2 linked regions of the Macaca mulatta genome follow. The protein of the gene in region 2 binds, or shares a complex with, the protein of the main gene of each other region. Links are inferred from orthologs where the notes say so. Each region holds a gene or a part of one and is shown on either strand. Other genes may lie near its edges.

Evidence for each region.
Region 1: the proteins of BANF1 (region 2) and EMD are in contact, whole or in part, in a crystal structure (PDB 7NDY), measured with the Homo sapiens proteins. The link is inferred for Macaca mulatta from reciprocal best matches to the Homo sapiens genes BANF1 and EMD. Residues at the interface, in NP_001137457.1 of Homo sapiens: Arg37, Phe39, Gln48, Val51, Leu52, Lys53, Asp55, Leu58, Glu61, Trp62, Asp65; in NP_000108.1 of Homo sapiens: Pro22, His23, Gly24, Pro25, Val27, Ser29, Thr30, Arg32, Leu33, Tyr34, Lys36, Lys37, Glu40.

Annotation. Positions count from the first base shown.
Region 1 is NC_133426.1:160,529,589-160,541,856, forward strand, and holds EMD (emerin), read right to left. Parts: upstream 5,730-12,268; 5' UTR 5,632-5,729; coding exon 5,550-5,631; intron 5,427-5,549; coding exon 5,322-5,426; intron 5,157-5,321; coding exon 5,079-5,156; intron 4,865-5,078; coding exon 4,731-4,864; intron 4,277-4,730; coding exon 4,227-4,276; intron 4,143-4,226; coding exon 3,815-4,142; 3' UTR 3,408-3,814; downstream 1-3,407. UniProt on the Homo sapiens protein: Stabilizes and promotes the formation of a nuclear actin cortical network. Stimulates actin polymerization in vitro by binding and stabilizing the pointed end of growing filaments. Inhibits beta-catenin activity by preventing its accumulation in the nucleus.
Region 2 is NC_133419.1:8,409,381-8,420,682, forward strand, and holds BANF1 (barrier-to-autointegration factor), read right to left. Parts: upstream 7,445-11,302; 5' UTR 7,439-7,444; coding exon of another isoform or gene 7,413-7,438; 5' UTR 7,356-7,412; exon of another isoform or gene 6,930-7,355; intron 6,694-6,929; coding exon of another isoform or gene 6,678-6,693; coding exon 6,555-6,677; intron 6,303-6,554; coding exon 6,156-6,302; 3' UTR 5,790-6,155; downstream 1-5,789. Other genes in the region: probable RNA-binding protein EIF1AD, read left to right, coding at 9,030-9,116, 9,252-9,360, 9,747-9,855, 10,024-10,071, 10,680-10,824. UniProt on the Homo sapiens protein: Non-specific DNA-binding protein that plays key roles in mitotic nuclear reassembly, chromatin organization, DNA damage response, gene expression and intrinsic immunity against foreign DNA.

The sequences.
Region 1 (12,268 bases), on a different chromosome or scaffold from region 2:
CAGTGCACTTGGGTGTGTCCAGAGTAGTTGGAATCCCTCATGGGGTTCAAAGCCCTGGGGGTTGGACAGATCACAGGATGAGCTTGGCAGAGCTCTGAGGAGCCCTGGAACAGGGAGGGAGTACTCCAAGGCCCACGGAGCCCTGGGGATTGGTGACCAAGCCCAAGTGGGAGGCCTCAGGAATCCAGGGGGAGCTCAGGGAGGTGGTGGGAGCAGAGCCCTGGGGAAGGCTGTGGGCCCTCAGGAGCAGGGAGTCTCTGAGCCCTGGGGTAGGAGTCTTGCAGCCCTTGTCATTCCCTGGGGAAATGGGGTGGGGACTCCGGGAGCCCTCTTCCATCCAGTCTTGGGAGCTCTTTTGGAATGAATGAAAAGGGGCAAGCTACGTTGGGGGTGGCCGCTGTTCCTTCCTTCCCTCTCTTCCCTCACGCCAGACACCACAGGGGTTGCCAAGTACACCCGGCTGCCTCCTCTTTACTCCTCACCTGTAACAGATCCAGGACCTGACCTAAGGCCTAGAAAGCACCATTTCGTCCAGATACCTGGATATCTCTTTTCCCTCCTTGGGATGCCCCAAGCCCAGCTCCACATCCCCCATCTCCCTGACACCGGCTATTACTCCAGAGCTTTGGGATGTCAACCTTGCCTCCACCCCAGGTCCCATATAGGTTCCTGCTAGGCCCCATCTGCCTCTGTCCAGCCACAATCCGAAGTAGTGAGTGCTTCCTGGGGGAACTGGACTTCGGTGAGTTCAGTTCTTCCTGTCAGTGTACTTGGTTTTTATCAGCTGCTGAAACAGGAGGCTGTCACTGCATCCCTCTAGGGTCCTGGTAGTAGCAACCTGTTTGTTCTGCCCCCCACGTACAGGCTTATTAATGGGACCATTGGGTCCCTAAGGTGGACCTGTGAGGAGGTGGCATCCCCTGCGCATGCCTACCACCTGCCATGGACCATCCAGGTCTCGCCTGCTGCAGGGCCAGCCATCAGTCTGTTGCATTGGGCTTGGGATGGTGAGGGGCAGAGGGCAAGGGCTTGGGGAGTCCACACAGCAAGTGGCTGGGCTCTGGGAGTGAGCTAGGTAAGAGGAGCTTATAACAAACAAGAAAGGCTGAAACTGAGTGGTAAGAAAATTAGAAGTGCTTCGCTCTTTTCTGCATGTTTTCAACACACAAGGACCATGCACTATTTTAGGACCAAAAATATACATGAGGAGAGACTAGGATGCAGCCAAGATAAATGGTCAAGAGTAGCCAGGGAGGGTCCCAGCCCCAGCCCTGCCTCCACGGGTGCATGTGCAGGCACTGCATGGGAGCTGTGCCAAGTGTGGGAGGCTGGCTTGTCCCACTACCTGCAGCAAGGAGCCAAAGGCAAGGGGGACTAATGCCAGCACCCCACCCCTTGCTGGGCCTGTTTCCCACCTGCCCGTGTGCAGTGGATGGCAGCCCCTCTGTGCTTTCCCGCCCTCTGCCGGCAGCATAGAGCCAGGCGTGCCCAGCAACATGTGGCATTGTGTCTTGGGTTGTTTTTTTTTTAATTATTATTTTTTTTTTTTTTTGAGACGGAGTCTCGCTGTGTCGCCCAGGCTGGAGTGCAGTGGTGCGATCTAAGCTCACTGCAACCTCCGCCTCCCGGGTTCAAGCGATTCTCCTGTCCCAGCCTCCTGAGTAGCTGTGATTACAGGCATGCACCACCACACCCAGCTAATTTTTTGTATTTTTATTGGAGATGGGGTTTCACCATGTTGGCCAGGATGGTCCCGATCTCTTTACCTTGTGATCTGCCTGCCATGGCCTCCCAAAGTGCTGGGATTACAGGCATGAGCCACCATGCCTGGCCTGTCTTGGGCTTTAGTACCCACTTTCCACTTAAAAAAATATATGTAGACCAGGCACAGTGGCTCACACATGTAATCCCAGCACTTTGGGAGGTTGAGGTGGGTGGACCACGAGGTCAGGAGATCGAGACCATCTTGGCCAACCTGGTGAAACCCCGTCTCTACTAAAATACAAAGCATTAGCCGTGCATGGTGGTGCACACCTGTAGTCCCAGCTACTCGGGAGGCCGAGGGAGGGGAATCCCTTGGACTCAGGAGGCAGAGGTTGCGGTGAGCTGAGATTGTGCCACTGCACTCCAGCCTGGCAACAGCAAGACTGCATCTCAAAAAAATAAATAAAATAATATATATATGTATATACAGGTATATATCTATGTATATGTATGCATATATATGTATATATGTGTGTATATAATATAAACTTTGAGCACAGTGGCTGACACCTGTAATCCCAGCACTTTGGGGGGCCAAGATGGGTGGATCACCTGAGATCAGGAGTTCGAGACCAGCCTGACCAATATGGTGAAACCCCATCTCTACTAAAAATACAAAAATTAGCCAGGTATGGTGGCGTGTGACTGTAGTCCCAGCTACTAGGGAGGCTGAGACAGAATTGCTTGAACCCAGGAGGCAGAGGTTGCAGTGAGCCAAGATGGCGTCATTGCACTCCAGCCTGGGTGACAGAGTGACTCCGTCTCAAAAAAAAAAAATTATATATATGTATATATAGAAGATTATGAAATACATACCCAGGGCAGAAAACCTGGGAGCTAAGTGAGAATATAGGCAGGTGAATTCCATCACCCAGGGATGATGGGGCATTTCAGCCTTTGGAGCTTTTCTCCCATGTTAAACAAGCAGCAGTTCCAGGAGCTGAGAATGATGTGCCAGAGATGCTTCATTTTTTTTCCGTCCCCATGCCCTTGGACACTGGGGTGGACTTCAGCTTTTTCCAGTTAAAACACCCGCAGACTGCTGGTAGCATGCATGCAGCTTTGCCTGAATTTTTTTTTTTTTTTTTTTTGAGACGGAGTCTTGCTCTGTCACCCAGGCTGGAGTGCAGTGGTGCGATCTCGGCTCACTGCAAGCTCCGCCTCCCGGGTTCCCGCCATTCTCCTGCCTCAGCCTCCCGAGTAGCTGGGACTACAGGCGCCCACCACCTTGCCTGGCTACTTTTTTGTATTTTTAGTAGAGACGGGGTTTCACTGTGTTAGCCAGTATGGTCTCAATCTCCTGACCTCGTGATCCGCCCGCCTCGGCCTCCCAAAGTGCTGGGATTACAGGCTTGAGCCACCGCGCCCGGCTGCTTTGCCTGAATTTCTAAGTGGGTTCTCTGTATACGCCTTGTTGTACCACAATTATATGTATAAGCAGTTACAGGTGCTTTGGGGAATGAGTTAGGGAATAAAACTCCCAAACAAAACACAAACATCTCTGGGTAGCATTTGATTCCTATCCCCAGACCAAAGCAAAAATGCGGACCCAACAAAGCCAGATTGCAATCCTCGAGTCCCAAGACGCAGAGGCCCTTGCCATGGGAGCCCAACCCTCTCCTCCAGGAAGAGCCAACGCATTAAAAATAAATGGGGTTTTTATTGTGTGTCCACGAAAACAAAGGGTGGCCTTTGGTTAATCCCCCCCAACAAGATGACAAAAAGGAGGCATGCATGACAACAAGAACCATGTTCTCCTCTGACTGAGCGAGGCCTTGCCCTCCTGGACCCTAAGGGTTACAGGCAAGCAGGGCCAGGAGGCTGCCGAGGAAAGCACACTCAGGCCCCCATGGAGGGCCTGAATCTGCTGCCTCCCTGGTGGGACAAGGCAGGGGGAGCAAGCACTACTCTGGGCTAGGCCCAGCGCCCCCCAAGCAAGAACACATAAAAGCCCCTGCCCCTGCCCCTGCCCCCACCCCCACCCCCACCCCCACTGCTAAGGCAGTCAGCCAGGACTTCCCCAGAAGACCTGGCTCTGAAGCCCAGACCCTCATGGCTCCCTCTGGAAAGGGTTGCCTTCCTCAGCCTGCATGAAGTAGTAAATGAAAAAGAGGACGATCACAAAGACCAGGAAAAGCAGCAGCTGGCCCCAGAGTGGGACCTGGTGATCCTGGCCCAGCCCAGCCCCAGGAGCATGGTTTTCAGGCCGGATGGCACGGCGGGTGAGCCATGAAGAGGAAGATGATGAGGAGGACATAGAAGAGGTGGAGGAGGAAGTAGGATAATAGGACAGGTCCAGGGAGCTCCTGGAGGCTGAAACAGGGCGGTAGTGCGCGATGCTCTGGTAGGCACTGTCCCGGCCGTACATGGGGCGTTCCCTGAGGCAAAAGAGGGGAACAGGTGGGCCAGGAGCCTGGGTCCAGAACCAGCCCCTGTCCCTGGCCTTCCCCATACATACATACCTATCCTTGCACTCCTCTTCAGAAGACGACAAAAGGTCGTCATCACGTACCTGTAGAAGAGAGTCAAGGTGAGGGAACTGGCTGGCAGGGCCACAATGGCCCTGCCACGTCCCTCTCAAATTTCCCCAGCAGGTCCCCTCTGACCTTTGGTTAAAGGCCAGGGACCCACACCCTCCTGAATGACTCTGGGTGTTCGGCCTTTTATCCATGGGGCCTTGCTACTTGTGCTCATGCCCCAGCACCCCCCTTTGCCCCCAGGACTCTCAGGAAGAGCTGGAGCCTAGATCCCAGACCAGGGTGCAGGACGCATCCTATGTGCTCTAGTCACATAGTTCTGAGGGCTCCCCAAAGTAGGACCCTGACCAAACAGGTGTCTGCTGAGCCAAAGTCTCCCCAGAGGCCCAAGGGCCACCATTTGTACCCAGTGGCCCCCTGGATTTATCCAAACACAGCCGCGATCCCCTAGGTTGTACCCAAGTACAGTACGCCTGCCAACCAGCTCACCTGGTGGTGGAAAGTGTCAGCATCTGGGAGTGAAGTCACAGACTGGCGGAAGCCCCTGGACGGGCCCGCAGACTCGGGCTCCCCATAAGTCCTGGTAGTGAAGTAGCTCTCTTCATAGTAGTCGTCATTGTAGCCTTGGGAAGGGGGGCAGCGGTAGCAGAGGGGGCATCGGTGTGCCCCGCCTGGCCCGATGGCCCTAATCTGAATCCCATTTCGGGACCTGTGACAGTTTCTCCCTCCTAAGGCTGCTGGAGTGGTTGGGACTGAGGTCTCAGGTCCTCCCTGTGAGCGGGGTCCCTGACGCAGTCGGGTGAAGGTGCCAGCGTGCCCACCCAACCCCTGCCTTACCCTTGCTCTGGTAGAGTAAGGCGTCCTCTTTCTTGGGAAGATCATACATATCTGAATCCCCTGACGTCGAATTCAAGTCTGGATTGAAAGGAGGAGACAGAACTGTTTGCCCCCCCACCCCCACCCCCACCCCAAGACTTCCCTCCCCTTTCCCCAGTGCCGCTCTCGACCGGCACCCCTGCCACACCCTCGCTACCTCATCCTCCCCGCGTCCCAGGCCGTCCCCACAGGCGAGGCTCTCACCAGAGAAGCGATAAGAGGAGGCAGCGGACGAGCCGGGGGGCGAGAGCCGCCGCCTCTGGGTCTCATACTCGAAGATCTTCTGCTCGTAAAGCCTACGAGTTGATCCTGGCCGGACACGGGGCGGTCAGGGCCGCGGTCCGGGGAAGGGGCGCGGGGAGGGCAGCGGGGAGGTCGCGGGGCGGAGCACGAGGAGGGGGCCCGGAAGGGGTCCCGCCCGCCGCCGCGTACCTACTACAGGCCCGTGCGGGATGTTGTACCGGCGCAGCAAGGCGGTCAGCTCGGTATTTGAAAGATCTGCGTAGTCGTCCATGGCGGGTGCGGGCTCGGGCGGAGGCCTGGCGGCGGCCCGGGCCTACCAAAACCGGCCGAGCAACGGCTGCCTAGGAGCACGGCGGGGGCGGCACGAGTGCATCGGGAGCGGCCGCACTCGCGTCACAGCCGAATCGCTGTCGCGTCACGGCCGCTGGCTTCGCAGGCTGCGCGCGCTGCGCTGGGCGGGACCTAACGGCGGGAGTAGCCGGCACAGACCGGCCGGGCCTTGAGAGCTGGGAGGCTGGGGCCGCGAGCCCAAACGTCATCAACTCACGGATTGGCTAGCGGCAGAGGGGGCGGGCCCCCGGGAGTCAGGGTGGTGGGAACCGGTCTCGCGGTGGGAGCGGGCGGGGCCGCAAGCCCATATGTCACAAACACGGGAATTGGCTAGTGATGGAGGGGGCGGGGCCCGCGCAGGCGCGGAGCAAAAGGTCTTGCGTTGGGAGCGAGCGGAGCGGAGAGCCCTTACGTCACAAACATGGGGATTGGCTAGCGATGGAGGAGGCGGGGCCCGCGCGGGCGCGGGGCAGAAGGTCTCGCGGTGGGAGCAAGCCGCGCCGCGAGGGGCGCCACACGTCACTAACGCACGGATTGGCTAGCGGCGTAGGCGGCGGGGCCCGCGCGGGAGTCAGGGCAATGCAAACTGGTATCGCAGTGGGAGTAGGCGGGGCTGCGGGCCCAAAAGTCACAAACGCATAGATTGGCTAGCGGCAGGGGGCGGGGCCCGCGCGGGAGTCAGGGCGACACGGCTGGGAGCCAAGACGTCACCCTGTGGCGCGCTTGAGCCAGCCGGGTGAGAGGGATGGGGCCTGCGCGCTAGGGACCCGGGACGTGCGAGCGGGCGAAGTCGGCGCTTGGGGTGGCTCTGGTCCCTAAGTCACTTGGACTTCGCCCGGTCCCTGCACATCCCTGCTCCCCGCCGTCGCCCCCCTTTCCTGGGCCCCAGAGCCTAGGGTTTCCCGGCCGCATCCCGGTCGGCCGCCCCGGCAGCGGACCCTAAGAGAGCGCGGGCCCGGGGCCAGGCACTGCCGGGGGCGCTTTGTGTGCGCATTGCTCGGGAAGCGGCTGCGGGGCAAGGCCCGCGCCTATGGGATCTCCGCAGACCCCCTGCCACGGGCCCTTCTTCCCAGTCTGCAGGGCTCTCGCCCGCGCACATGTGCCTGCTGCTTCCCACCGCCTACCTCTCTGCTTCCCTTCCTCCTCCCTCACTCTACCCGGGAGGAAATGGGGCACTGGGCCAGGAGGCCGCTGGCACTCCAGAAGCAAGCAGCCTTCGAAGGGGCCCGGGCATGCCGACGGGCACGCCAGTGGGCGCGGGCAGAGGGCGCCGTGCGATGCGTACAGAGACAACGTGTGCCCGCCTAATCCTTCATGCCGTTCATTCACCCGGGGCACTGGGGGGAGCTGCAGCGGGGCGTCCTCTCCTGTCGGAATAGTCCCTGAGGGCAGCGTGTCTAGGCAGGGGGCAGACGTCGGTGATGAGCTATGGAAGGCTGCCAAGGCCTGCTCAGGAGCCTGAACTGTGGCTAGGATTCCCAGGGCCTTGATCAGATATGGGCTGTCCCATGGAGAAGGGAAAGGAGGTGACATTCATATCTTTTTTTTTTTTTTTTTTGAGACAGAGTCTCGCTGTCACTCAGGCTGGAGTGCAGTGGTGTGATCTTGGCTCTCTGTAGCTTCCACCTCCCGGGTTCAAGTGATTCTCCTGTCTCAGCCTCCAGAGTAGCTGGGAGTACAGTCACATGCCACCACGCTTGGCTACTTTTTACATTTTTAGTAGAAACGGGATTTCGCCATGTTGGCCAGCCTGGTCTCAAACTCCTGACCTCAAGTGATCAGCCCGGCTCGGCCTCCCAGCAAAGTGCTGGGATTACAGGCATGAGCCACCGCACCTGACTGTGACATTCACATTCTAAACAAAGCCAGCTGAGGGTGTATGGAATCAACTAGTGTGCCCCTCACTGGGTAGGCCCCAAACTGGGAGCATGAAGAGGTGACATACCATCTGTGGTCTCACAGATGAGGGCTGGTGACAAGGGAAGAAGAGGGGAGGGCTCTGGTTGTGTCCAGAATGACTGAGCCAGCTGGTGAGGGTCACAGACCAGTCATCCATGGAGGTTTGCCCATGGGGTGGGAAGAGGTAGACACCTAGGGGAGTAATGAGGAGATGGGTCTTTGTTTTGACTACACACAAAGATCCTAACAAAGAGGAATCACTGTTGGTAAGGCCCTGCTCTGTGCCCAGCAATGTGGGAGGAAGTATGGGTCCATGAAGACAGTGCCTGGCAGTGTGCAGCAGGAGAGCCTTGGGTAGGGCAGGGGTTTGCACCTCATCTTTCAGAGCTGAGGGGACAGATGGCAGTTTGGACTCTGGGCTGCTCAGAGGCTGCCTCGTGGATTTTTTAGGTTTGACAAAATCAGATTCCCCAGCACCTCTGCAAGCCTTCTGCAATCCTGGCGCATCTCCCAGAGGCCTCTGTGTACTAAGTGCTGCTCCATCCTCCCCCATGCCACCCCTCCCCATACGGATCCAAGCTGTTTCCTTATGAGGTCAAGGAATTCTAGATTTGCCTTCTCCCTAAGGAGCACCCCCCACCCGTTCTGTACCTGCCTCGGCACTCTGCCTTTTATGTCCCACCCCTTTGCCCCACAATCAGGTCCCACCACAGATGGCACCAGGAAGCTGAACTGTGATGGTCCCCCTGCACCCACCCTGTGGGTACCTGGAGCCTAAGTCCAGCCCCATTGCAGTGCAGCTCCACTCCAGACCACTGGAAGCCAGGCAGGCTCCTGAGCAGCAGAGCGTCCATCTTATACCGGGAGAGTCAGGACCCTGTGATCAGGGGAGACTTGTCCAAGAGCCCTGAGTACAGCAATTAATTCATGGAACATTCCCCCACCAGTACCTGGTCCCTGGGGTTGATGACCTGGACAGCCTCAGAGAGTTTCCCGTCAAGGGTAGGGTGGGATTTGCAGTCGTCAGAGGGTCTGGGAAGGGCATGTACAGGAAAATCTGAGGGTCTCCAGGGGATTCTTCCTGGGAAGTGCAGGCAGAGGAGACATCGTGGTGCAACCAATTCTAAGTCAAGAATAAGAAAACTGAGTTGCTCCTTAAGGATGGAATGGCTGGCAAGCAGTATATGTTGTATAACTTACAATCCCAACGTGACTGAGTTATGAGGAAAAAATATCAACATGGAAATATTCCTCAGTATCTATAACAAGTAGATGATTGTTCACTGAGCTGTTAACATTTTATTTTTATTTTTATTATTTTTTTCTGAGACAGAGTCTAGCTCTGTCACCCAGGCTGGAGTGCAGTGGTGCGATCTCAGCTCACTGCAACCTCCGCCTCCTGGGTTCTCGCGATTCTCCTGTCTCAACCTCCCGAGTAGCTGGGATTACAGGCGCCTGCAACTATGCCCAGCTAATTTTTGTATTTTTAGTAGAGACCGGGCTTCACTGCATTGGCCAGGCTGGTCTTGAACTCCTGACCTCGTGATCCACCCACTTCGGCCTCCCAAAGTGCTGGGATCCACTGCGCCTGGCCTTTTTTTTTTTTTTTTTTTTGAGACAGAGTCTCACTCTATCACCCAGGCTGGAGTGCAGTGATGTGATCTCGGCTCACAGCAAACTCTGACACTCAGGTTCAAGCGATTCTCCTGCCCCAGCCTCCCAAGTAGCTGGGATTACAGGCACCTACCACTGTGCCTGGCTAGTTTTTATATTTTTAGTAGAGACGGGGTTTCACCATCTTGGCCAGGCTGGTCTTGAACTCCTGACCTCGTGATCCACCCACTTCGGCCTCCCAAAGTGCTGGGATTACAGGCATGAGCTACAGTGCATTTTTTTTTTTTATGTTTAATGACAGGGTTTCACTGTGTGACCCAGGCTGGAGTGCAGTGGTGAAATTATAGCTCACTGCAGCCTCAAACTCCCAGGCTTAAACGATCCTCCCACCTCAGCGTCCTGAGCAGCTGAGACTACTGGTGCATGTCACCACACCCAGCTAATTTTTATATTTTTGGTAGAGATAGTGTCTTGCTGTGTTGCCCGGGTTGGTCTCAAACTCCTGGGCTCAAGTGATCCACCTGCCTCAGCTTCCCACAGTGCTAGGATTATAGGCGTGAGCCACCATGCCCAGCCAATGTTTTCTTTAAGATCAGAATCTTCTTAATACTAAACAAACTTAACTTTCGTGTCCCCATGAGCGGTCCTGTTTCTGCTGCCCACCCCAGGCCAGACCTGGCAGTGCCCGATCCATGGCAGTCAGGCTCATCCCAGGGCTCGGAGTCCTGCAGTCCCGTCCTGGGGCCCTGCCTGAGGTAGGCGCCCAGCAAATGCCTGCCACAACCTGTTGCCCCCACCCCAGGAAACACAATCCCGACTTGGGACAGACACCGGGGGGCCGTGACTGTGGGAGGCTCCTTGGAGAAGGTGGCCTTGGGCCTGGGCCTTTCCACCTGGGGTGCGCTTGGCTCCCCCAGACTCAGACACGCAGCATCCTTGTGATTGGGCCTACACATGAGCCCTGCAGACCCTGTGGGGGCTGGGGGCGACTCTCCCTGAAGTCCTCCCTCCCCCAGGGCCTGGTGGCCCTCGAGGGTGGTGAGCTTGCTACTGTTGGTGTAGCTGGTTGGAGATTCAGTCTTTGCAGCAGGAATGGAGCCAGTTCCAGTTCTCTGCCATCTTCAACGTAGGGAGATGTCATGATCTTCACAAGGAATGACTGGTGTTATAGAAACCTTTGTTCCCACTGCAACCTGGAAAAAGTAGACTCAAAGAACTGCTTGTGTTTAGAGGGGGTGTGTGTGTGTCGGGGAGCGGTGCAGGAGTGGAAAGAGAGGGTTCAAATACAGCGGGGATCTTGAGACGCAGCCAAGCAGCCACTACCTCTTTCATGCTCCCTCCACCTGTTCCGGTGCCTGTGGGTGGGCGGGATTCCCTCCTCAGGATAGCCTTGGCTGTGATTCGCAGCACAGCTACCTCGAGGGCCTGAGCTCAGGTTTCTCATCTAGCAAGTGGCTTCCCCAGCAGGGCACACACACTGGATGGAGCAGCTGGAGATGAGCCCCTGGGCCTGTTGGGAGGTTTCCGCGGGGCTTCGGGGATGAAATGCCATTGCCAGCAGAGGCAGCAAGACCTAGAGGGCAACCAGTGCCTTGCCACAATGTTAAACTGGGGATTGCAGAACTAAATTAGCAGGTGTGAGCAGACTCCCTTCTTCCCTCCCTCCCTCCCTTCCACCCTTCCCTCTTTGGAATAGAATAGAAAATAGCAGCCTACTCTTTGTTTCAAATCTGTGTGTCTGTGTGTGTGTGCTGGCTCACAGTGTCAACTGTAATTCTTATTGGGGGTTGTGGGCAAGATGTTACAACGGCACTGCTTTATGCGGCTTTCCCCAAGGAAGTGACATTTGAGCTGAATCTGAAGCTACCAGGAAATGGGCACATAGAAGAGGAAGAGAGAGCCTGGCAGTGCCAGGGCGTGGCTGTGACCGCCATGTTCACAGACACTTGGCTCTTTGGCTGCACTCCGCTGCACACTCCCAGGCTCTGGGACTGCCCCTGAGTGTCCACCTGAGCGGTCCTGTTTCTGCTGCCCACCCCAGGCCAGACCTGGCAGCGCCCGATCGGTGGCAGTCAGGCTCATCCCAGGGCTCAGAGCCCTGCGGTCCCGTCCTGGGGCCCTGCCTGAGGTAGGCACCCAGCAAACACCTGCAACGACCTGTTGCCCCCACCCCAGGAAACACAATCCCGACTTGGGACAGATACCGGGGGGCCGTGACTGTGGGTGGCTCCTTGGAGAAGGTGGCCTTGGGCCTGGGCCTTTCCACCTGGGGTGCGCTTGGCTACCCCAGACTCAGACACGCAACGTCCTTGTGATTGGGCCTACACATGAGCCCTGCAGACCCTGTGGGCGCTGGAGGCGACTCCCTCCCCTCCGCCGAAGTCCTCCCTCCCCCAGGGCCTGGCGGCCCTCGCCGGCGGTGAGCTCATCTCGGGGGGCGGCGTCGCCTGGCGGCGGGTCGCTGGAGCTCAGGGCGCGCCCCCGCACCCCGCCCCCCACGCACCCGTCCCGGGCTCCTGGGCAATTTTACCAATTAAGGCTTTCTCGCCAGGCCGGGCCGGGCGCGGGGCGGGCGCGGGGCGGGGATGCGGCCAACAAGAAGGCGGGCGGCGGCGGCCCATTCGCGTGGAGGCGCGTCGCGCGCAGCGGACGCCGACAGAACCCCGAGGCGCCCGGCGCGGGCGCGAAGGCGATCCGGGCGCCACCCCGCGGTCACCGGCCACCGGTCGCTCTCAGGGACAGCAGGTGAGGTCTCCGCGGCCCGGCTTCGCGCCTTGCGCCGTAGGGTCGCCGCGCTCCTTGTCGGCCGGGGGCGGGGTTGGAGAAGGCGGGCACAGAGGCCCGAGAACGCAGGCGCCAGCTCGCGCCCAGGTCCGGGCCAGGTTCAGCTGGGATGCGTGAGCCGATGGAGGCGCCCCTGACATCTGGGAGTGAGTGTCCAGAGAATGTCTTCCCTAGTTGACCCACGAGCCGTGTCTGTGCCCACGAATGTGGGAGCCTGAGGCCATGGGGGGGTCCCCTAGAGAAAGAGGGTGTCTGGGCACTTGCCAGGAAACTGGTGCCTG
Region 2 (11,302 bases):
AGTGAGCAGTGATAGTGCCACTGCACTCCACCTGGGTGACAGAGCAAGACCCTGTCTCAAACAAACAAACAAACAAAAACAGATGAAAAGCAGTGTTGAAGTAGTCAACTCAGGAAAAGTCTGGATTTTGTTGAAAAAAAATTTTTGTATGTGTGACAGAGCTCTGTCAGCCAGGCTAGAGTGTAGTGGCACTATCATAGCTCACTATACCTCAACTTCCGGGCTTCAAGCAATCCTCCCATCTCAGCCTCCCAAGTAGCTGGAACCACAGGTGCATGCCCCCATACCTGGTTAATTTTTTTCACACCTGGCTAATTCTTAAATTTTTTTGTAGAGATGGGGGTCTCACTGTAGTGCCCAGGTGGGTCTCGAATGCCTGGCCTCAAGAGATCACGAGATCCTCCCACCTCAGCTTCCCAAAGCACTGGGATTACAGGCAGGCCTTGCTGGAATTATTTGTCTGCATTTTAGAGTTCACTGTAGTTTGTACTTGTAATTCCATGTTGCTGGGAGGCAGAGGCTTATTGTCCCTAGGGCACTAAGATCTTTTTTTTTTTTTTTTTTTTTTTTTTGAGACGGAGTCTTGCTCTGTCACCCAGGCTGGAGTGCAGTGGCCGGATCTCAGCTCACTGCAAGCTCCACCTCCCGGGTTCACGCCATTCTCCTGCCTCAGCCTCCTGAGTAGCTGGGACTACAGGCACCCGCCACCTCGCTGGGCTAGTTTTTTTTGTATTTTTTAGTAGAGACGGGGTTTCACCGTGTTAGCCAGGATAGTCTCGATCTCCTGACCTCGTGATCCGCCCGTCTCGGCCTCCCAAAGTGCTGGGATTACAGGCTTGAGCCACCGCGCCCGGCCGGCACTAAGATCTTGCAGTGCTTAGAGCCTCCAGGGGCTTCACTGGGGCTTGGAAGAGGTGCTAGGTCACAGTACTTAAAGAGCAGCCGGCAGCCCTCATTGGGATGGATATTGTGTATAGGCATCCAGCGTGTCACCCTCCCTTCCTGATTCTGGGCCTTAGAATTCCAAGACCACAAAAGGAAGTGATTTCCCACACAGAGACCTAGACCAGAGCAGTCACTCACTGCCCAGGGCAGCTGCCAGCCTGCTACCTGCCTCACTTCCTCAGCCCAGCTGTGGAAAACTAACTCTGCCATCTTCCTGGGATTCTAAGGAACCGTCACAAGTTCCTGGCAGCCTCAGGTGTCTGGCTTAAAGGGACAGACTCCAGTTTGTGGAAGTGCTGGCCGAGCTTGAGTTGATCAGGAGGATGACGCCTGGCCAGGACTCTGAGCTGAGAGCCTGGGAGGGGTAGAGGAAGAGGCCCAGGATTGTGCCACAGGGGCGAGGTGGGAGAAGCAGCTCCCCTAGGCCTGCTGTCTCATCACTTGGAGCTTAGCCATAGCCCCAGGTACCTCCAACACTCTCTCAAAAACTAGCCAAGGCCTGTCTGCGACTCGACTCACCATGGGCACTCACCCCACCTGCCACTGCTTTGTGCTGATGCCAAGGACTCTTTTGCAGTACAACCTAGCAATTTCTGAGCACTTTTCACTCACTAATTCTCACAAGCACCCTGAGGGAGTACACATTATCCTCACTTTGCAGATGAAAAAGTTAATCAGAGAGGTTGGGACACTTGTATAAGGTCACACAGCTAGAATTGGTATCTTGGTGAGAAAAGGTGGGGAGTGGGGTTAACAATGATAAGAGCTCTTGCTGTGTGCCAGGCCTTGCGCCAGGGATTCAATGTATGTTCTTTCTTTCCCATAGCAGCTGCAGAGGCAATGATTATCACCTCTTCCTACAAGGAGGAAATGGGAGGTCAAAGGGGAAGGGTAGTGGTGGGTCCTGGCACATGAGTCCTTGGCTGCTCTACAGGGGTATGAGGTCTACTGTGCATGGTGTAGGGTTGTTTCTTGCAGGTGGGGTGTCCCTGAGTTGACTTTCCTGGGGCCTGACTCCATCCTGTCTGGACCACTCTGGCTTCCAGGAGGTTTGGGCCAAACGTGAGCTTGAGGTCGGTCAAATGTACTGGCCACAGGGCACAGCCTCCAGTTTTGCAGTGGCCCAGACATCCCAACCCAGGTTGTCCACAGCACCCCTCTCTTGCCCCTGGCCTGATGGGTAGAGATGACCAGGGCAGGTTCTTGACATCTCCTTCCCTCTGGGATCAGGCCCTCCAAGGCCTTGGTGCTTCCCCCAGAACCCTCTTCCTTGAACCTTCAGTTGGGCAGAGGATATTGCCCTCCCCCAGGGCTCTGCAGTCCCATATCCTGAAAAGGAGATCCTTCGGCAAGGAAACCTGTAATCCAACAGGGATTAAAGCTCCCCTCTGGGGAGGAGCGCTCCTAAGCGCTGCTGATTCACTGGTTGAATCTTCACAACCCTGCACCAGCTGGCAAGGAGGCTGTAGCTCAAGGGAGTGAAGCAACTTGCTCCAGATTGCATGGAGAGCAAAGGCCCAGAATCGGGCCTGGCTGGCTCTTCAAGGCTGCCATCAGTCAAGGTTGGGAGTGACAGGAAAGAGCCCTGGTCCCTGCAGGGAGGGGCCAGCCTGGAAGGGCATCAGCTGTCACAAGCACCTGCTGGGAGCCTTCCATGCTCAGCAGGCTTCCGCGGGGCAGGGCTTGTGGTGCTCCAGGTAGCCTCCGCTTACTTCCTTTCCGGGGGCAGCAGGAGCCCTTCAGGACCCCAGAGTGCATGGGCTGTGTTCACACCAGGTTCTAGGCGGGCTCTGAGCACTCATGACTAGATCGGCTGAGGGGTGTCAAGCTCTGGCTGGGTGTGAGGGCATGGGGACACGGGGTCAGTATTTGCTGATCTCCGGGCCCACCCATGTCCCAGGCTAGCGGATGGCCAGGCATGTCCTGTTGGGTACCATGGGCTGACACTTAGACAACCTGACTCTCACCCCTCACCACCAGGTCTGCTTTCTGCACCAGCATTCCAAGCTGTGGTCCCTTTGTCCTGCTGGCTGAGTCAGGCTGGATTTGAGAGGCCACACTGTCACAAGGTACATTCTAGATACCCTTTGTCTACTGCTGTCCCAGGACAGAGCCAAGAACTTGTGTGGGATGCAATATGGAGTCCTAATAAAGGGTTTGTGGCCTGCCACCTGGTATACTCACTGCCCGTGCCCCAAGGGAGAGGTGAGAAGGCAGGTTCCAGCCCCTTCTAAGGCAAAGCCTGTGGGTGAGCTGGGAAAGGCAGATGGCAAGGAAATAAAGCAGACAGCATGAGCCGCAGGCTTCCAGCAGGCTCCTAGTGCCAGAGTCAGGCGAGGCCAAATCAGGAAGCCAGTGTGGGCAGGAGCCCAGGCAAGGGCTTCGTGGAGGAGGAGGGAGTCTCCATGACCTCACAGAGCACCAGCAACAATCTGGCAGCATCAGGGCTGAGGTGTGGGTGAGGCCAGGGTCCTGCAAAGTCCCCACCTCAACACACCAGGCCTGCGACAGCATCACAGCACGAGGGTCAAGGCTGAGGGGACTTACCCAGGAAGACATCAGAAACAGTATGAAACTCAAGAGAGAGCCCTCGTGACTTCAGCCAGGCCTCAGACCAGCAGCCTCCCAGGAAGCGGCAGGAAGCACAAGCTAGGCCCTGCTGCAGCCACCCCAGTGTCCCTTTCAGGCTGGGCCACTCGCACTTCCCGGTCCCAGCCTTGCCCAGAACTCTCATCCCTACAAATAACAATTTAGTTTCTGACCTATCACACGATCGTTCCAGCCTCAGGTCTTTATTTTTGGTTTTCCTTTTATATTTTTATTGTTCTGAGATGTAGCTAATACACAGAAAAGGGCGTAGAACACACTCTTTTGGTCAATGCCTGTACCACCACCCCACAGGCCAGAAACACAGGTCAGGGTAGGCCAAGCCTACCCTTAAGCCCTTCCACATCCTCCCCCAAAGATAATCACTGTAGACTTTTTCCTTTACCATTTACCATAATCATTTCCTTTGTTTTCCTATCTATGTAGGAATTCCTACGAACTTGTTTGGCTTCATTTGCTATGGAGATTTGTGTTGTACACAGCTATCATTTGTTCATTTTCACCTCCGTTCAGTGCCCGGTGGCATGAATGCGTATTTATCTACTCCAGTATTGACAGCCGCTAGTGTTGCTCCCAGCATTGCAGCTGCGAACTCGCCTCAGTCCTGCTGCAGGTGTTGGGGACTTTCTCAAAGGCACAGTCCTGAGAGTGGAACTGCTTGGTCACAGGGTGTGTCAGTTTTACTAAGTAACACCCAACTGTCTTCCCAAATTGTTTAGATCAATTTATACTCCCACCAGCTGGGTATCAGTTCCTGTTGCTTCACTATCTCATCAATACTTGGTATTGTCCAACTTAAAAGTGTTTGCCAGTCAGATGGGTATTAATGGCATGTGATGTCTTATTACTAGCAATATGGAGCACCTTTCCTGTGCTTATTTACTGGGAGGGAACCTTCTTCTGTGGCCATCTTAGGTCTTCTACCTATTTTTCTGTTGTGCTGTCTGCCTTTTTTTTTCTTTTTTTTTTTTGAAACCGAGTTTCATTCTTGTCACCCTGGCTGGAGTACAATGGCATGATCTTGGCTGACTGCAACCTCTGCCTCCCAAATTCGATTCTCCTGCCTGAGCCTCCTGAGTAGCTGGGATTACAGGCGTGCACCACCACACCGGGCTAATTTGTGTATTTTTAGTAGAGATGAGGTTTCATCATGTTGGCCAGGCTGGTCTTGAAATCCTGACCTCAGGTGATCCACCCACCTCGGCCTCTGAAAGTGCTGGGATTACAGACGTGAGCCATCACGCCCAGCCAGTCCACCTTTTTCTTGATTGCAGTTGTATTTGTGCTACGGAAATACTCCTTTGTTGTTCACACTGCTGCAAATATCCTTTCCCTACAACCATCTCATTTTCCAAGTGGGAAAACTGAGACTCAGAGAGGATAAGCCACATGACCAAGGAACACAGGGCCCGGTCCATGCGTTTCCAAGCTAGTTCTGAGTTCCAGTCTGGCTACTTCCCAGGAGCAAGTCCACGGGCAAATTCGCCTCTCTGAGCCTCAAGTTTCCTCACCTGTAAAAGAGAAAATTATTATTATTGTGAAAGAAAAAAATGTTTGCAAAGATTTTAGCTTCAAGCCTGGTTCATACTAAGTGTTCAAGACATAACAGGGCTGGACACGTATGGTGGCTCACACCTATAGTCATAGCGCTTTGAGAGGCTTAAGGATCGCTTAAGGCCAGCCTGGGCAACACAGAAGGGCCGTCTCTATTAAGTTAAAAAGTAAACAAAAAGAATAGGACTAAAATGTACTGAGGTGTACTCCCCTCACATCCTTCCAGCTGTGATGCCTGTGCTCCTTCTCCTACCTAAGAGATCATGGAAGATGGCAAGCGCCCTGCTCACCCTTGCCGAGGCCAGGAGAGCAGATGATATGCTGACTGGCAGGTGAACTCTCACCCACATCTGGCCCACCCTGTCTGGTACCTCTGACTCCCACTGACTTTTCCACCAGGTGTTGCCTAGCCCAGCTGTTGACTTAACTAACATCTGGAGCACCGTCCATCTGGCTCCCAGGAAAAGATCCACCCACACCCTCTCCCACATCACTCGGGGATTGAGACACAAGTCACCTGCCTGAGGCCTACATGGCTAGCATGACTGCCCTCTGGGAGTGGAAGGGAAGCTGCCAGTTTCGGTCTCTACTGATAAGGAGTGAGGGAGACATGGTCCGTCCCTGGAGAAGAGGCAACTCCCAGCCCACTTGTTTTTCAGTGCACAAAGCCCAGTCATGAAAGCCACTGACTTTATTGATCTAAAAAACTTTACAAGGACAGTGACTGTTCTGCCCAAAAAGGAGCCAAATGGTATCAAACGGACTGAAAGTGAGGGTGGGGGGTGAGGGACGGGGCCAGGAATCCATTCAGGAAAGCTGGTAACTGTCACCAGGGAACTGGCAAGGGAAAAAGGGCGGGGGAGGCATGCAAGAGCGAGAATCCAAAAAAGTTGAAATGGTTAGGGGAGAAAACTCCCAAAAGACCCTGGAGTACATCGGAGGTGAGTACGACAATAGCAATCTTTTCCTTCGTAGAGGGCAGGGGAGGAGTCCCTACTCGGCTGCAAACTCTGGATGAGGGCTGGGGATTGAGAGCTTCCCAGAGAGCATCACAAGAAGGCGTCACACCACTCTCGAAGGCATCCGAAGCAGTCCCGGGACTGCTTGGCGTTGGCGCCACACGTGTCCTTCAGCCATTCCCGGAAGAGGTCTTCATCTTTCTTTAGCACCAGAAACTGGCCAAGGACAACATAGGCCTGCAAAACAGGGAAAAAGGAAGGGGTGTGCTGCTCAGTGTTCAGTGAGGGATAAGAGCAAGGCGGCCATTCCTGTGCCATTCAGAGTACACAAGCCCAAGAAGCAGCGTGGGTTTTGCCCCCATCTCCTCTCCACCAGGTGCCCAGGCTCTGGCAGCCTCTTCAGATTATACCCCACTGTCCACCCCCTAGCAGATGGACTCACTTCCCTCCCACCCCCGCCTGCACCAGGTACAGGCGGCCACCCCACACCTTGTCAAAGCCCCTCTCCTCCAGCTTCTTGCCCAGGACTTCACCAATCCCAGCCAGGCTCCCCACTGGCTTCTCCCCCATGGGCTCTGCCACGAAGTCTCGGTGCTTTTGGGAGGTTGTCATCTTGATCAGGCTTAATCTAGGAATCCCAAAAGAAAGGCAGATTAGGGCTGAAGACCTGGAACTCCTAAGAGCCCACTAGCAATCTCACAGTAAGAGGCAGCCAAGCCAGGGATTCCGGTGGCTTGCTCTATCCCCCTCATCCTGAAAGGAGAAAACCGAGATCCAGGGAGACTCTTCCCTACTATTCTGAAAAGGAGTTTCTTCCTGCAGGACCTGGATTTTGATCTTGCCCCAGAAGAAAAACAATCTTGCCTAACAGGTGGCGCAAGCGGGGCAGTGGGAAGATTCCCAGAGTCAGTAGCCAGGGCTGCCCGGAAGCTGTCACTCCCTCTGTGACCTTGGCTGAGCCAAGAAGGTACTGACTGCCTGGAACAGCCACTTGGCGTGGAAAGCTAACCAGAGTCTCTACCTACAGGGCGAAGCGCACACCGAGCGCTGCGCACACCCGCTACGCGTCCACGGGGCACACGCCGCACCCCAGCTCCGCCCCCATCGCGCGCAGCCGCGGCCCGCCCCCTCCCGCGGCCCGGCTTCCACGCGCCGCACCCCGCCCCCTCCCCGCAGCGCGGCCAAACTCTCCCCCAGGGCCCGCCACAGCGCCTGCGGCCCCTCTCCTCCCCTTCTCCCCGCAATCCCTCTGGCCTCCAGCCAGGGCCCTGCTCCGCGGCTCGCGCTCACCGGCAGCTTCAGTTCCCGTAACGGTTCCTCCCGCCACCCTGCTGCTCCCGCGGATACGTCAAGCCACTAGAACTTTCTTCCATTTCCGCTTCCGGGTCGCCTCAGCCGCCTTTTAAAAAAAAAAAAAACCTTCCACGTTGGGCCCTTCTAGCCAGTTAGAGCTATAGAGTTGAGGCGCCACGGACCTCGACGGCGTCCTTAGTAGGCGCTCCTTTCCGGTTCTTCGCGGGAAGCCCTGTCTTCTGAGGTCTCGCTCCTCGAGCAGTTCTGAGGGAGAGAGGCCTACAGGGAGAGAACTTCCTTTCTGTGCTGCCCGGACCCGGAACTCAAGGACTTAGGCTTGACCGACCTGGCGTAGGGAAGAGTTAGAAGACGGACAAGGGAGGGGACGGGTGGCCGGGAGGCCTCTGAGACAGCGCCGGAAGACGGTTTTCGGAGGGATCCGACTCAGACTCACGTCGCACTCCTCGCAGTGGGACTGGTGGGAACTGGGAACGCTGGAGACCTGATTTCGAGGTGACGCTACCGTCGCGGCCGCCGGCAAGTTCCTTTACTGTGTTTTCTTGGCTCAGCCTTGAAGTGAGTCGTGGACGATCCTCTCTCAGCGTCCAGCCTGGACAGCGGGGTTGCTCCGGCAGCGTTCCTGGGAGCCCAGGGCCAGAGACTGAGTGTGGGTGTTTCTCTGAGGGTCTTTTCTCCGGGATAGACAGGGAGGAGGAAGGAGAACGGCAACTAGAGATGACAGTGTTTCCTTCGGAAACCATCAGTCTTAAGGGTGCTGGTCCTCGTCTTCTAAGTACGCAAGTCAGAAAAATGCAGATGTCGCAGACAAGCCTGCTCACCTCAACCTTTAATTAACTAGTTCCTGGCTTGGACCATCACGGTGGCCACCTAATTTGTCTCCGGCTGTAGTGTGTTGCCAGACTGAACTTCTCTGTTGTGTGACTGTGCCAGACTTGGGGTGTACAAGCGTGTTGAGAAAGATACGGTTTATTTCAAACTCCTTCCAGAGAGGTTGCCAGGATGATTTATCTGGAACTTTCCTATAGTTTTACATTACACCAGTACCTAAGATTGTAGAAGTTACTTTTTTTTTTTTTTTTTTTTTTTGAGACCGAGTCTCTCTCTGTTGCCCAGGCTGGAGTGCAGTGGCACGATCTCGGCTCACTCTAAGCTCCGCCTCCCGGGTTCACGCCATTCTCCTGCCTCAGCCTCCCAAGTAGCTGGCGCCCGCCACCACGCCCGGCTAAGTTTTTGTATTTTTAGTGGAGACGAGGTTTCACCGTGTTAGGATGGTCTGGATCTCTTGACCTCGTGATTCGCCCGCCTCGGCCTCCCAAAGTGCTGGGATTACAGGCGTGAGCCACAGCTCCCTGCCGGAGTTACTTTTACATGACATGCACTGTTGTCCCATTCTGTAACAGTGCTGAGTTAGCTGTTATTTTTCTGGGACCTAGAGAAGTTGAATAGTTAGGAAATAAATGAGGGTAGGATTTGAATCCAGGCAGTTAGACTTCAGAGCCCATGTTCTTAACCAAGACACCGTGTCACCCCTCAGTAAAAGGCCCCTCCCCATCTTCAGAACAGTCCTGGGTTCTGAGCCTGCCATCCAAGGAACTCAGGAGGAGGAGTTGACAGTCTCTTCGTTCCTAACCACCCTGGGACAACTTCAGCATGTCTCAGGCCACCAAGAGGAAGCATGTGGTGAAGGAGGTGCTGGGGGAGCACATCGTGCCCTCCGACCAGCAGCAGATTGTCAGGGTGAGTGGCTTTGGGCACAAGCTGCTCTGCTCCCCACCCCTCCAGCCCTGGAGGGCCCCTGGGGTGGTGGCAGGGTGCGCGTGGCTGAGAGAGTGTTTGACCGATGAGACTGATTCTTGGTCTCTCCTGAACCAGGTACTCAGGACCCCAGGGAACAATCTGCATGAGGTGGAGACAGCCCAAGGGCAGCGCTTCCTGGTGAGCATGCCCTCTAAATACCGCAAGAACATCTGGATCAAGAGAGGTGAGAGGATCACTCCTGTAATCCCAGCACTTTGAGGGGCTGAGGTGGGAGGATCGCTTGAGACTATCCTGGGCAGCATAATGAGATCTTGTCTCTACAAAAAGTAAAAAATTAGTTGGGCACGTGCCTGTGATCCCAGCTATTCGGGAGGCTGAGGCCTGAGAATCACTTGAGCCTGGGAGGTGGAGGCTGCAGTCAGCTATGATCATGCTATTGCATTCCAGCCTGGGCAACAGAGCAAGACCCTGTCTCAAAAAAAAAAGAAAAAAAGAGAGACAGGGAGGTGAGAGAGGCAGCCCTCTCTAGGAGATAGAACCACTTCCTATGGCTTTGGCTTTCCTTATTGCAGGCAGGCCTGACTTTGCCTTTTCTCTTCTTACCTACAGGAGACTTTCTCATTGTTGACCCCATTGAAGAGGGAGAAAAGGTGAAGGCTGAGATCTCGTTTGTGCTCTGCAAGGACCACGTGCGCTCCCTGCAGAAGGAGGGCTTTTGGTAGGTGGTCCCCTTGATCACTGACTCTCTGGCTTCTGAAGGCATTGCCTTCCTAGCTTGGGAATTAGGGGAGGGAAGGTCATGGCATCCCAGGCAGAGACAGCTGGAAACAGCTCTTTTGTGAGAAAGTGATTTGTCCTCCCTGACTTTGCTCATCTCTTGGCATAGGCCTGAGGCCTTCTCTGAAGTGGCTGAGAAACACAACAACAGGAACAGGTGAGAAACAAGCCTTGCGGTGGGACACATGGAAAATAAGGGGTTCATGCTTTGGTGCCTTGAGGGAAAAATAGAGCCTTTTTTCCTCCTTACATAGGGTATCTGTTGAGAGCTCCTACGTATGTGGTACATAGTTATGAATGTGGCTTGAAGGTCAGATTCTCTGGGTTAAAATCCTGGCTTTGCCACTTAAAGCTGAATGACTTTAAGCACGTCATTTAATTCCTTCCAACTCTATTTTCCTTATATATAAAATGGGAGCATTGTGAGGATTAAAGAAGTGGATGGCTTGTAAAATTGCTTAGTGCAGCATCTGGTGTGTGATGCGGGTTCATTAAGCATTAGTTGGTGGTCGTAGAATCATTATTCCTGACTGAAACAAATGGCTGTGGCACATGTTTGGGGACTGGGGTCAGTCTTTAGCCTGTTTCTCTAGCCAAGTTTCCCCACTGTTTGCTCTGCCTCTGTCCCTTGTTTTAGTCTTTAAAGGGTGCTGTAGGGCCCTGACTGCTGGGCCGGATGGTCCTCCTTTTTTTGGAACTCCTTGATTGTAGATCTGGTTTTCTCAGAAGGTGCTGGGCTAACTCTGCTCTTTTCCCTTCGTGCAGACAAACTCAACCAGAACTCCCAGCTGAGCCACAGTTATCAGGAGAGGAGTCCAGCTCAGAAGATGATTCTGACCTGTTTGTTAACACAAACCGCAGACAGTATCATGAGAGTGAGGAGGAGAGCGAAGAGGAGGAGGCCACCTGAGACTCCAGGACCCACTTTTCCACTTGCTCAGGGATGGGCCCCTGGCTCTTCTGGGCTTGGACATTCCCAGGGTGCTTTGCAGATCTTCATCCCTGGATGGGGACAAAGCAGGGCCCCTCTCTGAACTGATGTTTTGATTAGGAGAATTAAACCCCTGGTGGGTTGGTGACTTGTTCTGGTGTCTGAGTGGCTCTCTCGGGGGACGGAGGCTTGTGGTGAGGTGAAGAACTGCTCCCTGGTAAAGAGACCTTGTGACTGGGTGGGCTGAATGGGAAGGAAATGGGAAATGGCTGGAGTCTTTCCCCGGTTGTTTGTTCTTTCTTACTGGGCACTTAGAAAGTGCCAGGCCCTGCGCTGGGCCTCCTTGCATGTGTGTAACAGCTGGGAGCTTCCTGCTTCCTTGCCTGCTTGCAGTTCGTACCGATTCAAGCATTCAGGATGACAGTCCTAGGACCTAACACCCACCTGCCTCTAAGAG